3 linked regions of the Oryctolagus cuniculus genome follow. The protein of the gene in region 2 binds, or shares a complex with, the protein of the main gene of each other region. Links are inferred from orthologs where the notes say so. Each region holds a gene or a part of one and is shown on either strand. Other genes may lie near its edges.

Region 1 (5,115 bases), on a different chromosome or scaffold from region 2:
GTGGTCGAAGGGTAAACGGCGGAAATTTGACTGGGGGAGATCTGTTTTGTGGGGAACAAAAGGGGAACACCGGCTGTGTCAAATAGCTCCACTCCGTGTACCTGCCCACAAGCACCGCTGTCTTATGGGAAAAGGAGTGCTCAAGTACTTAGCACCGCCACTGCCGTGGGCACCAAACACAGGGAGGGCGTGGACAGAGGAGGAGCTGGAGAGAGCGTGAAAATTACAACAGGGGCCGGAGCTATGGCGTGGTAGGTTAAGCCGCTGCCTACAGTGCCAGCATCCCATGTGGGCGCCAGTTCAAGTCCTGGCTGCTCCATTTTTTTTTTTTTTTAAAGATTTATTTATTTATTTGAAAGTCAGAATTACACAGGGAGAGGAGAGGCAGAGAGAGAGGTCTTCTGTGCCAATCCAAAGCCAGGAGCCAGGAGCGTCTTCTGGGTCTCCCATGTGGGTGCAGGGGCCCAAGGATCTGGGCCATCTTCTACTGTTTTCCCAGGCCATGGCAGAGAGCTGGACTGGAAGAGGAGCAGCCAGGTCTTGAACCGGCGCCTGTATGGGATGCCAGCACTTCAGGCCAGGGTGTTAACCCATTGCGCCACAGCACCGGTCCTGGCTGCTCTACTTCTGATCCAGCTCTCTGCTGTGGCCTGCGAAAGCACCAGAAGATGACCCAAGTGCATGGGCCCCTGCACCAGTGTCAGAGACCCAGATGAAGCTCCTGGCTTCGGATCAGCCATTGTGGCCATTTGGGGAGTGGGTCAGTGGATGGAAGATCTGTCTGTCTCTCCCTCTGTCTGTAACTCTGACTCTCAAATAAATAATTAAATCTTTTTTTTTTTTTTCTTTTTGACAGGCAGAGTGGACGGTGAGAGAGAGAGACAGAGAGAAAGGTCTTCCTTTTCCATTGGTTCACCCCACAGTGGCCTCTGCAGCCAGTGTGCTGCGGCTGGCGCACGGCGCTGATCCGAAGCCAGGAGCCAGGTGCTTCTCCTGGTCTCCCATGCAGGTGCAGGGCCCAAGCACTTGGGCCACAGCAGAGAGCTGGACTGGAAGAGGAGCAACCGGGACAGAATCCGGAGCCCCGACTGGGACTAGAACCTGGTGTGCTGGCGCTGCAGGTGGAGGATTAGCCTAGTGAGCCGCGGCGCCGGCCAATAACTAGATCTTAAAAAAAAAAAAGAGGGCCAGCACTGTAGTGTAGGGGGTAAAGCTGCCGCCTCCAGTGCCGGCATCCCTTATGGGTGCCAGTTCAAGTCCTGGCTGCTCTTTTGATCCAGCTCTCTGCTATGGCCTAGGAAAGCAGTAGAAGATGGCCCAAACCCTTGGGCCCTTGCACCCACGTGGGAGACCTGGAGGAAGCTCCTGGCTCCTGGCTTCAGATCAGTCCAGCTCCAGCTGTTGCGGCCAATTGGGGAGTGAACCAGCAGATGGAAGACCTCTCTCTCTCTCTCTCTGCCTCTCTCTTTGCCTCTCCTTCTCTCTCTGGTAACTCTGACTTTGAAATAAAAAAAAAAAGAAAAAGAAAAAGAAAAAATGTAGACCAGGGTTCTTTTCACCACAGCCTGGAGCACTTTGGTTATTTTAAGCCATATTTTTAAAAAAATCGCCAGTGGGTGGGGCATCTTTCCTCTTCCGTGAATGGAGTCCTCGGCCCAGCTGTCCTGCACAGACCACGGGCTGCCTGTATAATGGGGCCACCCATCCTCTGTACACCCCTGTCCTCGGGGCAGAGAAGACTCCCATGCCTTACCTGGCTTCTTGCCACCATAGAAGTGAGTGTATTCAGCACAGGTGATGTACCTGAGAGGGGGAGGGGGAGGGGACGGGGAGAGGGAGGGAGAGATATCACTACGCTGCCACTGGCCAGCCAGGGGTGAACACGGCAGACACGGGGCTGCACAAACCCATAAATAAATAAACACAGACGGCCCTGCGCTGCTCAGAAGGAAAGGAGGTGATTCACCCAGGAAGACCTGACACATGAGAGCGGCCGGCACGGGCAGACCTGGGGGAAGAGCCCTCCAGGCAGACACACGGGCGGGGCCCGCAGCCACAGCGGGTACCGATGCCCAAGGCAGGAAGAACAGACAGATGTCGCTGGGGAGCTGCGGGCACCGGCGGGTGGCAGCGGAGGAAGACGGATGGGGAGGGGCCTCGCAGGTCTTCCTCAGTGGGTGGGAGACCACGGAGGGTTCGGAGCCAGGGCCCTGCTAGGCAGGATCTGACATCAGCCGCAAAGCCTCGCCCTGGCTGCTGTGCGTAGGAAGACAGCCAGAGCAGCAGCAGAAAATCCACCAGGAATTGACCACTTCCTCCGGGTCTCCCACGTGGGTGCAGGGGCCCAAGGACTTGGGCCATCTTCTACTGCTTTCCCAGGCCACAACAGAGAGCTGGATGAGAAGAGGAGCAGCCAGGACTCGAACCAGTGCCCATCTGGGATGCCGGCACTGCAGGTGGCAGCTTTACCCACTACGCCACAGCACTGGCCCCCAGCACACATTGCTTTCACACCACGGTAAGGTCGGAAAACCCTGTCTGTGGTGGGCGCTGTGGTGCGGTGAGTGAGGCTGCCACCCGCATACCGTACCAGAGCGCCTGGAATCAGACCCCGCCCCTCTGCTTCTGACCAGCTCCCTGCCAAGGCACCTGGGGGGCGGCAGAGGATGGCTCAAGTCACTTGGGGTCCCTACTACCCACGTGGGAGACCTGCATGGAGTTCCTGGCCCAGCCCTGGCTGTGGGGCACTTGGGGGACTGGACCAGTGCATGGTAGATCTTTCTTTCTCTCCCTGTGTCATTCCGCATTTCACATCAATACAAATATCTTTAAAAAAAAATTTTTTTTAATTCTCAGCCTATCACTGAGACAGGAAGGAGAGAGGCAAACTCCAGGGCTGGGTTCTATTTCCGATGATCAGATTAAAATGCGGTCTGTATCAGACCGCCGAAGCGGAGATGCCGGGCTGAACAGACTGCTTCAAGACCCCCGCCACAGACAGTAACCTGTGAGGCCTGGGAGAAACGGGAGGAGGGGGCCCGGCCGACGAACCCGAGAAAAGGGGAGGCCGCTGAAGTTTGCGGGAAAACCACGCACGCGAGATCGCAGAGGTCAACGCCACGGGCTTGAGAAATGACTGGATGACCCCAAGCTCGGCAACAAGGACTCAAGGCGGGGGACAGGGGCTGTGAAAGCCTGGCCCCAGCGGACTCGAGAGACAGCAGCAGACCGGGGCTCGTCACTCGGAAAAGGCGAAGAAACGCGACGGCGGCCGGGGCTCGCTCGCTTCCAACCCCGGGGGGCCCGAGACGCGGCTGCCGGATCCCCGGGCTACCGCAGGGGCTGGGGGCAGCGGTGTCACTGCCCGGCCTGGGGAGTGGGCAGGGGGCTTCCGGGAGGAGTCCTGGGGACTCGACTCTGCGAGGGAAGAGGAGCGACGCGAAGCCCCGGCCAAGCGCGGGGCCGGGCGCGCAGCGGCGAGCCGCTCCCCCGACGCGGTTCCACGTACATCTTGTCTTTCTGGTGCTGGCGTTTCCCCATGGCGGCGAGCGCGGCGGTGGGGTCTTCGAGCGCGGAAAAGTCACGGCCAGCAACCGCGAGCCCACAGACGCCGCCGAGTAGTCGGGCAGCTACTTCCGGGATCCGCGGGCCCACGCCGGAAGCGGGCGCTTGGCATGCCGGGAACTGTCGGGTTTCCCTGCCGCCGAGTGCGCATGCTCCAACGGGGTCTGGGCGCGGTGTGGTACCTGAGACCCTGGACTGAGGGAGGCCGCGCTAGCTTGAGCCCCCTCTTTCTTGGCGGAGCTGTTCTCTCCTCGCACCGCCCCATTTAGCTGCCTGCTCGCTCGTATCCCATTCCCAGAGTGCATTGTGTCCGACAGCCTCCACGCCCCTCGGCAGCCCAGCGACAGGTGGCCATGGACCGTCGCTTGGTCCCTTCTGTCTCTTCTTGAGCCACTTTGGGTCCAACGCTGGGGCCCCGGGTGACCCTGGCCAGCAGCACTTGCGTCTCGGGACTCGCCAAGCTGAGGTGCCGGCGCTGTGGACTCTCAAACCACTGATCTCGGATTTAACACGCCTGCTGAGAAAGCAGAATTCTTGTCCCGCTGCCTCCTTACTCTCCTGTCTCCTGAACGGACTGCCAGCCACCGGGTCACCCAAATTTTGTAACTGAAGGCCTAGGATTGAGGCAGAACCGGGAGGAGGGGCAGACCAATCTCAACTGCTGAGCTTGCTTTTCAAAGAATGTTCCAGCACTGCCCTGGGAGGGGCCAGACCCTCAGCCTAAGAGGAATCCCATAGTTTGAGTCAGATCTCCATGACCTTACCTGAGCTTCATTCTCATACCGAATCCTCTGCCCATGGGAGGGGTTCGCAGTCATTACGGAAGATGCGAGGCGTGAAAGATGTATGGTACCTACACGTCTGGGCAGGAGGGCCCCCCACTGCCATTTTGCAATATGCTGGACACTCCTGGCTGCACCTGCTCCAAGTTCTTGTCTCCACTCGGTGAAGTAATTGGAGGAACACCCTAAGGGCGTACGGGAAAGCAGGATTTAGGTACTCAGATGGCGAAGAGGCAACCTCTCTTCATGAGAAGGAAGGGTACTGCCCCCGCAAAGCTGGGGTCGCCCCTTTCAGGATATGGGATGATGCCCTAATTAAGCATTTTTTTTTTTTGACAGGCAGAGTGTACAGTGAGAGAGACAGAAAGAAAAGTCTTCCTTTTGCCGCTGGTTCACCCTCCAATGGCCACCACGACCAGCGCGCTGCGGCCGGCGCACCACACTGATCCGATGGCAGGAGCCAGGTACTTATCCTGGTCTCCCATGGGGTGCAGGGCCCAAGCACCTGGGCCATCCTCCACTGCACTCCCTGGCCACAGCAGAGAGCTGGCCTGGAAGAGGAGCAACCGGGACAGAATCCGGCGCCCTGACTGGGACTAGAACCCGGTGTGCCGGCGCCACAAGGCGGAGGATTAGCCTAGTGAGCCGCAGTGCCGGCCCTAATTGAACATTTTTAAAATTTATTTTACTTGAAAGGCAGAGTTACACAGAGAGAAATATCTTCCATTCTCTGGTTCACTCCCCAAATGGCCACAATGGCCAGAGCTGG
Region 2 (5,962 bases):
AACAACCAAATTACAACAAAATATAAAGTCCCACAGAAGAAGTTTACAAATACTCAAAAATGTCAATCCCTGACAAAATACCTTTCAAATTTACATGGCTAAAAAAAATTTCCATCTGAGAAGGTTTCCAAAACCAGAGAGGAAAATTTTACACTGAAACACTGTATAAATGCACACTGTATCACTCTAAAGAGTCAAAACACTTTATGTAGCTCAGAACAACTTTAAACCAGCAAGGATAATCAATAGCATGAACAGAATGCCAAATTTCTAGAAGAAAATATTTTGAAATGAATAATCATTTAAGTTTCATGTAAAATCAGTATTCTATTTAATTACTGTAACTCCGTCAAGTCTAGAATTAATTGCTTATATACATAATTAGAAACTATCCATGAAAAGCCATTCAGATTTTTTTCATTGTCTATAGAAACCTACAAATTAATTACAGACTGTAGGGTCTCCATGGATTTCAATATTAACTGAGAGGGTACTGTTTATGGAAAACCTAGTATAAGAGTACCCTGTGAATAACCTGGTAGCCCCACCTCTAGGTTTAATACAGGAAATTATTTTGGGGGGAAAGTACACATTTCAACAGATTGCTTCCATTTTTGGTTCTTCATAGATCAAATTTGTTTGTGAAGTTCTTAACACAAAATAACATCTTTTATTTTAAAGTCAACTGCAAAGTTTAACATTGAGCTTAGGGCTGCATTTGAACAATAGTGAGTGAAAACAAACACATGTGACTTCTTAAATACAAAAGCATAAAAATATATTTCAGAAAAATGCAGTAAAAAATGACTAGATAAGAGGTGAAAGTAGGAAATGAAACATACGTCTGTTAAAGGATCATCTGCGTCAAGGTTGGCAGCAGGAATCTGGTCTAACCGAGGCTTCTTGGATACTGAAGAGGAAGTTGTATGTTCTGGGGGTAGGCAAACATCACCTAGTTACTGACACACGTTTCTTACGATTCAGGGACTCATGGGCACAAAACAATCACACTAAAAGCATCCCAGCAGCAGGGCTCATACAGTGGCTAGCAGATAAGCATTTGGATAAATATTTATCGAATGACTTAATGAAAGCACTGATTTTATACAGGAACTGCGGCCTCAGGAAATTCAGGGAATAGTTTATACATGTTGGGAACCTAAACCTGATCATCACTTCTAGGCTAGTTAAGAAAGCACTGTAATTCACACTAATACTTAAAAGCAAACAAACAGAAATATTAACAGTTTCTAATTAACACATAAAAAAATATGGAGAACATAATTTTATGAGACAAACGTTTGGGATAGCGTTAGTACCCCGGGTTGGACGATCCCTATTTTTCTCTCTGGCAGCAGCTCTCTCTCTCTCTTCCAGCTCTCTCCTGAAGTCCCGGTTACGAACCTCTTCAGGGGCATCCTGAGTAGTTTGCCTAAATTATAAACCAATCAGGGTCAAAAGGTTACTAGAAAGAAAAAAATACATGGCTGTAGCAATGAAATATAATTCATCACAGCAACTTTGTCCTTTAAGCCTAAGAGGAAAGTTGTCAGAATTATGACACAATCTGAAGGTTGAACTGCATACTTTCCCATAATACAGCTACAGATTTATTATAATGTCCTTAATTTTTTGAACTATGCACTTGGCTCAGTGGTTATGGTGTTGTTTGGGACACTCCATAAAGGAGTGTCTGGGTTTGAGACTCATCTTTATTCTCCATTCCAGCTTCCCAGTAATGTGAACTCTGGAAGGCAGAAGGTGATGGTTCAAGTACTCAGGTCCCTGTCATCTACCACATGGGAGACACAGATTGAGTTCTTGGTTCCTGGCTTAAGTATGGCCCAGCCCTGACAGTTGCAGGCGTTTGGGGAGTGAACCAGCAGATGGGGGATCTCTTTCACTCCGCTCTTCAAATAAAATAAATAATTTTTTCCCTAAAAGCAGGTATTTAATTGTTGTATTATTAGAAATTCAGGGCCTGTTACAGTAACGCTTTCAATGTCATGTTGACTAATGCTGGTAAGTGCATAGTTTCTCTGAGATAATCCACTAGCTACCATTCCATCTCCATATGGAAACTCCTGGATAATAAGAATTTGGGCTGCAGGAAGGGGATAGAACTTTAAAATCACAGAGTGTAATTTTGATGTTAAACTTTCTATTGTATTCTATTCCTCTGAAAATGGTAACTGAAGTGATACAATTCAAACCTACCCCTACTACACATCATGGCCATGCTTTTCAACAGATTAGGCCTATTTCATGAGCAAGAAAAAGCTGCGAGTCTTTATACCTATATTTTATCTTTGTATGGGAAGGTAAGTCTCGGCTGGAATACTGCTTTGAGAGTTGGCTCAGATCACCTTCCCCTTTTCCTCTTCCACCTCTTGCAGGTTCAAAAGTTGGTCTGGCTGCTGTCGTCATCTTTGACGCTATGGGGGAAAACAAAGTTGTTTCTAATGCGACATACTTTCACTGTGTAAGGTACTAAACAAATATCCATCCTTGTGAAATAATCTCAAAACTTGCTTCAATAACCCTCCCAAACCAAAGTTCTGAAGGAAACCAATTATGAGGTGCAAGGGCAGCTTTTATCTCACACCAAAAATTCTGTGGTGAAGACCTGAGTTTCTGCTCCTGTTCCCCTTCTGTGTGGCCTTGGACAAGTGACCAATCTTTCATTTATAGAATGGGGCTATTCCTCAAAGAATTATGAGATCCCACATGTCAAAGCCCTAAAAGTTCTCAGTTTAAACCTTAGTTTAAATGTCCTTAAGGAAAAGACAAAAAGAAAGAAAATTTAAAAATCACTGACAAACTCTTAAGTGTCCCAGAGGTAAGTGTGCTGAAAATCAGTGGGAAACATTCTCCAACAATCTTGTGGATTCGATTTTCTCCTGGGACAGTCCTCACAACATACACGTCAGGCTACAATTTAAGAAATGCTCCAATGACAGAAACCTAATCCTCAAAGGAATCTGATAACGGAAAGAATACTGCCCAGCTGATGGGGCTACTAAGAGCCCAAAAGCCCGTTAACGTCAGAAAAGCAAGTGTCTGGGGAGGGTGCAGAAGACGGCAGGATTATTTTGTATGCTTCCCTCGGTTTCCAAAAGGCCGTGAAAGCCTGCGTAAGGAGAGAGAGAAGCAGGTTTTCTAGGGTCGGGGGCGCCGCCGCTTCCCAAAAGCTTCAGGTTGATCACTCCGGCCGCCCGGGAGCCCGCCTTTCGCCTGGCTGGCCTGCTTCAAGCCCCGGCTTAAAGCCACAGAGGGCAGAGCTTCGTTCCGCGCTGGAGGCCGGGGGCTGCGGGCGCGCCCGGCCGGCACCGGGCTCCACCGCCCGTCCGCGGCTCCCGGTCTTTCCCGCCGGCGCTCGGCACTCGGCCAACGCCAACTCTGACCCCGACTGCCGTCTCCCACGCCACCCGGATAAGAAACACAAACTGCTCTCCCCGTGCCGCTCACCTAGGAAGACGTCCGATACTACACTCACGGAAAATCATACAGACGCCATTGTGCTTGATAGCTCCCAGAAACCTCTGCGCCCAGGGCCAAAGCCCAAGACCCGGAAGCAAAACCCGAGCATTTTTAACCGCCCCAAAGAGGTGGCGGCAACGACCAATCCTCAGAGGCCAAAGTGGAAGTCGGTGTGACGACATCAAGGGGCGGGGCTGAAACGGCCCAGGGGGCGGGCATTTGAAATCAGTGCTTTAGAGCAGACCTTGAACATCATCTTACGCTTTCGAGAGCCAGTTACTTAATGTCTCTTCCGTCTTTCCCTTCCCCAACCCCCCCTCCCAGACTCCTTCATTCCGGCACTGCGTGGATGGAAAACCCGGTGTAGCCGACACCACATCCATGGCTAGCGGGAGAGAGCGTGCAAAGGGATTTCACCAAACAGTTTAAATCCAACGATTCTGTTTCCATCCTTTCTCCTGAGCTAGAGCCAACAAGCCTAGAAAACTAGGCTGCGGAAACACTAGTGTTTTCATTTAATTGGATATGAAGAAAGAACAAATATGTGCGGGGGCAACCACGATCTTTATAAAGGTACCATTCCTGCAAAAATATTAGACTTCACAGCAAAGGTTGTATTCGTATTGTTTGCTAAGTTTTTTTTTTTTTTTTCCCTTTAAAATGCCCTTAAGTTCTGTGAGAGGGGAGATGTCAGCATTAGCGTTTACGACCTTGAACGTTTAGAACGGTGGGCCCAACCGCCAGTGGCACGGGGTGGAATTATTAAGATGGCTACTGATGCATTAGGGGAGGTTGTAGTAAGACCAGGAAAAGGCAAAAAGTAAATCACCAGTCGTTTTTCTTTCTCCCCTGAGAAACAAGCACTCTGAGAGCAGGGATCTTGTTTGTTTAGTCCTTCCTGGTAGAGTGTCACACATGGTAGTATCCTGCGCAGTATTTGTTAAACCAGTGAAAATTTAAGTTTTCCCAATTTAGTGTCAAAATTGAACATTGAAGGATTTTTCCTGAAAATTCTTTCTTTGAAACTTTTAAGTGAAACCAATGTAGAAAAAGCGCCTTCCTCTGTAAGGTTCAAGTTGGAAAATTTTGTGTGTGTTTGCTTTTTCTTTCAAATATATTCCTCCCCAAGTCCTGCACATCAGTAAAGGATGCAGCCATCACACTAGTTACTCAAACCAAAAACCCCAGGGCACCTACTTAACAGTTGCTTTTGCTTCACTATTCACATCCTGTTCCTTCGCAAGTCTTGTCAAAATTTACCCTAAATTCCATTCCACAATCATGATCTCATCAAAACCACCATCATCTTCCACCTGGATAGTGATTAATCATAGCTAGCATTCCTCACTTGCATAAAACCCCCTGCACTTAGATTAAAGACCACCTTTCTCACCGTGGCCTGTGGAGTCTGGCTCCTGCCTTATCTCCCTGATTTCACTCTGAAGCAGTCATTGTTACACACCAGACTCTCCATGGCTGGAGGTGCAGCTACGTGGGCATTTCTGTTTCATAAAATAAGGCAGGATTGGTCCTTACCTTAGAACTTTATAGTGGCTTTTCTCTGTTGCCTATAGTCCAAGATAACTGTTGCCATCCTTCAAGTAGCAGTTCAAATGCTACCTCCCCAGGGAGATTTTCCCTGACCTCTGCATTTGCATCCCCGCCCCTCCAGCATGCAAAGTCGTATCATTATCCTGCTTCATACCAGTGAATACTACCTGAACCTGTTCTGTTCCTTCTTTATTGCTTTGTTGCTTGTCTGAGAGGCAGCATAGCAAAGCCATTAAGCGAAAGCCCGACTGTCTTGGTTCTAAACTCCAGTTCTGCCCTTTTGTAGCTGTATAACCTTAGGCAAGTTATTTTCCCTTTCTAATGCGCTCAGTTTCCTCATGTATAAAATGGAGAAAATTCTAGTTCCTACTTCATAATGTGACTGTAAGAATGAATATTTGTAAAGTGCTTAGAACTGTCTCAGCAAATAATACTTGCTAAGTAAATGTTAGCTATTATTATTAATATTATTTTATTATTGTTGTCTATCTTCTTGTATTAGAACATAAGTTCCAGGAAAGCAGGAATCTTGTCTGTCTTGCTCACTGGTGTGTTCTCTGCATATAGAGCTGTGCCTGACACTTAATAGGTGCTGAGTAAGTATTTTCTGAATGAATGAATGAATGAATGATGCACTATGAAATAGAGGAATGTAGCAGCGATGGCAAGATGGTAACACAATTATAGCAAATAGTTTTTATGTTCCAGCTGCCCTTTTCAACCCTGCATGAATCACTTTAATCTGTTTAATTCACAGCCCACTGCTCCATCTTTTGACTGCTAACTGCTACTCTATAATTTCATTAGCACCAACATCTAACATAATCAGTCCACAAAAACTAAGAGCTTTTGACCTATTGACCTGAAAGTATTAAAAGAAACTACATATGACATGAAAGTACTAATAGGAAAAAGTTCTGATTTATTTCAA
Region 3 (3,423 bases), on a different chromosome or scaffold from region 2:
CCCCATGGGAGACCAGGAGAAGCACCTGGCTCCTGATCAGCGCAGTGCACTGGCCGCAGCACGCCGGCCACGGCGGCCATTGGAGGGTGAACCAACGGCAAAGGAAGACCTTTCTCTCTGTCTCTCTCACTGTCCACTCTGTCAAAAAAAAAAAAAAAAAAAAAAAAACAACAAAAAAACAAACAAACAAAAAAAAAACAGAAAAACAAAAAACTGCAAGCCTCTCTGCTCTCAGGCCCTAGCATCTTCTAACACTTGCTGATTATGCCAACACTTTGGCGTTGTTTACCAGCATAATGTAAGCCCCCAAAGTATAGCAAAAAGCCTATCACATAAAACCCAACAAATACGTTAGGTGACGAAAGAACAACTTGCTTGCCAGCTTGTCATTTCTGAAGAACAGTCAGAAATTCCCAAGGGATGCGGTTTAAAATGAAAGAAAAAGGTAGAATAATAAAAAAAACCTCAAACCTGAAGGCACTATGGATCTGAAAATTTTTTTTCAGGTAAATCTGAGTTCTGAACACAAGGAGGCTTCACAAAGTTGATGGAAAAATGGAATTAGAAGTCGAACTTTCTAGGGGCTTTTAAAATTTCATTTATTTTGCCGGCGCCGCGGCTCACTAGGCTAATCCTCTGCCTAGCGGCACCGGCACACTGGGTTCTAGTCCCGGTCGGGGCGCCGGATTCTGTCCCGGTTGCCCCTCTTCCAAGCCAGCCCTCTGCTGTGGCCAGGGAGTGCAGTGGAGGATGGCCCAGGTGCTTGGGCCCTGCACCCCATGGGAGACCAGGAAAAGCACCTGGCTCCTGGCTCCTGCCATCGGATCAGTGCGGTGCGCCGGCCGCAGCGCACCGGCCGCGGCGGCCATTGGAGGGTGAACCAACGGCAAAGGAAGACCTTTCTCTCTGTCTCTCTCTCTCACTGTCCACTCTGCCTGTCAAAAATAAAAAAATTAAAAAAAATAATAAAATTTCATTTATTTTAAAGTTAGAAATACAGAGTCGGAGAAAGAGAATCTTCCATCTGCTGGTTCACTCCCCAGATGGCAGCAATGGCCAGGGCTGGGTTAGACTGAAACCTGGAGCTTCTTTCGGGTCTCCCACATGGGTGCCTGTGGCCCAAGCACTTGGGCTACCCTTCTCTGCTTTCCCAGGAGCATTAGCAAGAAGTTGGATCAGAAGTGCAGGGGCCAGGCCTCCAACCAGCTGCCCATATAGGATGCTGGCACTGCAGGCGGAGGCTTAACCTTCCAGGGGCTTTCTGAAGCTCCCCAAAGGGCATGCTGGGCGGATTTCAGTGCCTGGCAAGGCAGGCTGGTTCTGTGCCCTCCACCCACCCTCTCCTACTTGCACACGCACAGAACCTTTGGTTCCGAGTCCTCCCCAGCCTTCTCCCCTGGAACACAAACAGATCACACCAAGAGACTTAACAGATTCTAAACTTTATGAAAAAGGCAACGCGACAATCAACTAAGTCAAACACGAGCCTCCAAATCCCCTCACTCCAGTGCCGTCTTCCCCAACGCCCGCCAGCTCTCGGACCTCTTCACCCGCAGTTCTCAGGGAGCCCCGGCGGTCCTGGTGCTGCGTCCCGAGGGATCCACGTGAAGACAGCACCGGCGGGACACCTCGGCGAGCACTTCTGCACCCGGAAGGCCGGAGAAGCAAGGAGTCGCGGAAGAACCAGTCCACTGGAGACAGGAACGCGCGGGCAACGCCGGCGATCGGGAGGCTCGCTGGAGGAGGCGCCGTCTCAGTTTTCCTCGGGCTTGTCAGCGGGGGGGCCGCAAGGCTGCAGCATCTTCTCCATCAAGTTGAAGCGCACTCGCGCTTTGCTCTCATTCTCCGCGATGGCGAAGTAGTTGAGAAGGTCGAAGTGGCCCATGTAGGAGCAGTAGGAGTCGCGGTGCTGGTTCACCAGCCACTCCCACTTGGTGGTGTCGGCGTGGCCCGTGCCGATGTACTTGGACTGCAGGTGCTCCAGCTGGCTGTGGATGGTGTAGCGGTCTGTCATCTTGCCGCTTTCCCTTTCGCTCCGAAGTCAGAAGTCGCACGAGGGTTAGGAACCGGTCTCGGGTTTCCCGCCGGAGAAAGGCCAGCACACGGAACCGGCAGCCTCGCTCAGTCGCAGAGAAATTGCGTCACAGCGACGGAGTGGCGGAGGACGCGGAAGCGGAAGCACATTTTGAAGCCGTATTGGAGTTGCCCTAGCGACACTGAAACTGTCCCGCCCCTTTAACAGAGTCCCGCCCCCCGCCCTCGGAGAGCGTTGCATGATGGTCCACTTGGTGGTCCGTGGGTGGCCCTGTACTGACGTAGCGTCTTGCATGCTGGGATTTGTGGTCTCTTCCGAGACCGCGGTTTAAGAGCTGAATGGAGGGCAGAACCCCAGAGGCGGGGAGCATGCGTTGTCGGCCCGGTGCTAAGAGAAAGTGGGCCAGTGGGCCAGTGGCACAGGCAACCAAGAAAATAAACCCTTGGTGTAATTAGGCGCTGACGAGGCGGCACGGTAGCCCCTTCACAATCGGGTGGCTTACTGAGGTCGGCAGACGCGACCTCTGGTCCCACGCTCTAGCGGGGCCGCCGTTCCCGTTCGGTGACCCTGCACAGCCCCGGGGCCGAGTCGCTTGGGCGCCCCCGGCGCACACTCCTTCGGTCTCGCCTCTCGGGCTGGTGGCCCCCGGCGACTCCACGCCGACCCCCACGACCCCGGCCCGCACTCGGCCAGGTGCCGCGCGCGCCCGCGTCCCCTTCGGAGCCGTTAGCGCCCGCGGGAAAGGCTTTGTTCCCGCGGCGACGCGTCTGCCTTCGGTTGGCTCCTCCTTTGCATCTGATTTTCGCTTTATGTTTTACCTTTTGGTTTAAAATTCACGGCGGTAGAAATACTTGAGGAAAAAACAAACCCATACTTATCTTAGGATATCCTTTTTGGATATTCGTACAGCCTGATAGATTGTGTTCTCCAAAAAACAGTTGAGGGATAGAGAGACAACTACAGCCAAAGAGAGGAACGCTGCCCGGAGAGCAAGAACTTTAAAAAGCAGTTTTGTTTTGCTCTTTTCAGCTTGACAATTCATTCCTAAAGTGTGGAAAATTTATAAGGTATATCTTTGGCTTCATCCTCTAGGTGTATCAAACCTTGACATTTTGCCGTATTTGTCCTGATTTTGTTTTGATTTTTAAGAGATAAATTCTGCAAATAAACGTTCTCCGCGTTCCCTTCCCTCATCTCTTGGACACTGTCCTGGATTTAATGTCAATCATTCTGTTTTCCAATTGCTGAAAGTTTGTGTATCCATAAACAATAGCTGATAGGCATGGTTTAAACCTATGAGTAGCATATATAATGCTGTAAAAGTTGCTTTTACTCTTGTCAGTATCCTCATTGATATATGAAACTTTAATTCTTTTATACTGTTCAAT

The links.
Region 1: CWC15 (region 2) and PPIL2 share a complex: the UniProt entries of both Homo sapiens proteins name them as parts of the minor spliceosome. The link is inferred for Oryctolagus cuniculus from reciprocal best matches to the Homo sapiens genes CWC15 and PPIL2.
Region 3: CWC15 (region 2) and SF3B5 share a complex: the UniProt entries of both Homo sapiens proteins name them as parts of the minor spliceosome. The link is inferred for Oryctolagus cuniculus from reciprocal best matches to the Homo sapiens genes CWC15 and SF3B5.

What each region holds. Positions count from the first base shown.
Region 1 is NC_091452.1:29,125,888-29,131,002, forward strand, and holds the start of PPIL2 (RING-type E3 ubiquitin-protein ligase PPIL2), read right to left. Parts: upstream 3,727-5,115; 5' UTR 3,541-3,726; coding exon 3,509-3,540; intron 1,804-3,508; coding exon 1,754-1,803; intron 42-1,753; coding exon 1-41. UniProt on the Homo sapiens protein: Has a ubiquitin-protein ligase activity acting as an E3 ubiquitin protein ligase or as an ubiquitin-ubiquitin ligase promoting elongation of ubiquitin chains on substrates.
Region 2 is NC_091432.1:86,202,098-86,208,059, forward strand, and holds the start of CWC15 (spliceosome-associated protein CWC15 homolog), read right to left. Parts: upstream 3,610-5,962; 5' UTR 3,469-3,609; intron 2,436-3,468; 5' UTR 2,428-2,435; coding exon 2,297-2,427; intron 1,433-2,296; coding exon 1,320-1,432; intron 932-1,319; coding exon 843-931; intron 1-842. UniProt on the Homo sapiens protein: Involved in pre-mRNA splicing as component of the spliceosome. Component of the PRP19-CDC5L complex that forms an integral part of the spliceosome and is required for activating pre-mRNA splicing.
Region 3 is NC_091436.1:24,439,666-24,443,088, reverse strand, and holds SF3B5 (splicing factor 3B subunit 5), read right to left. Parts: upstream 2,159-3,423; 5' UTR 2,015-2,158; coding exon 1,754-2,014; 3' UTR 1,427-1,753; downstream 1-1,426. UniProt on the Homo sapiens protein: Component of the 17S U2 SnRNP complex of the spliceosome, a large ribonucleoprotein complex that removes introns from transcribed pre-mRNAs.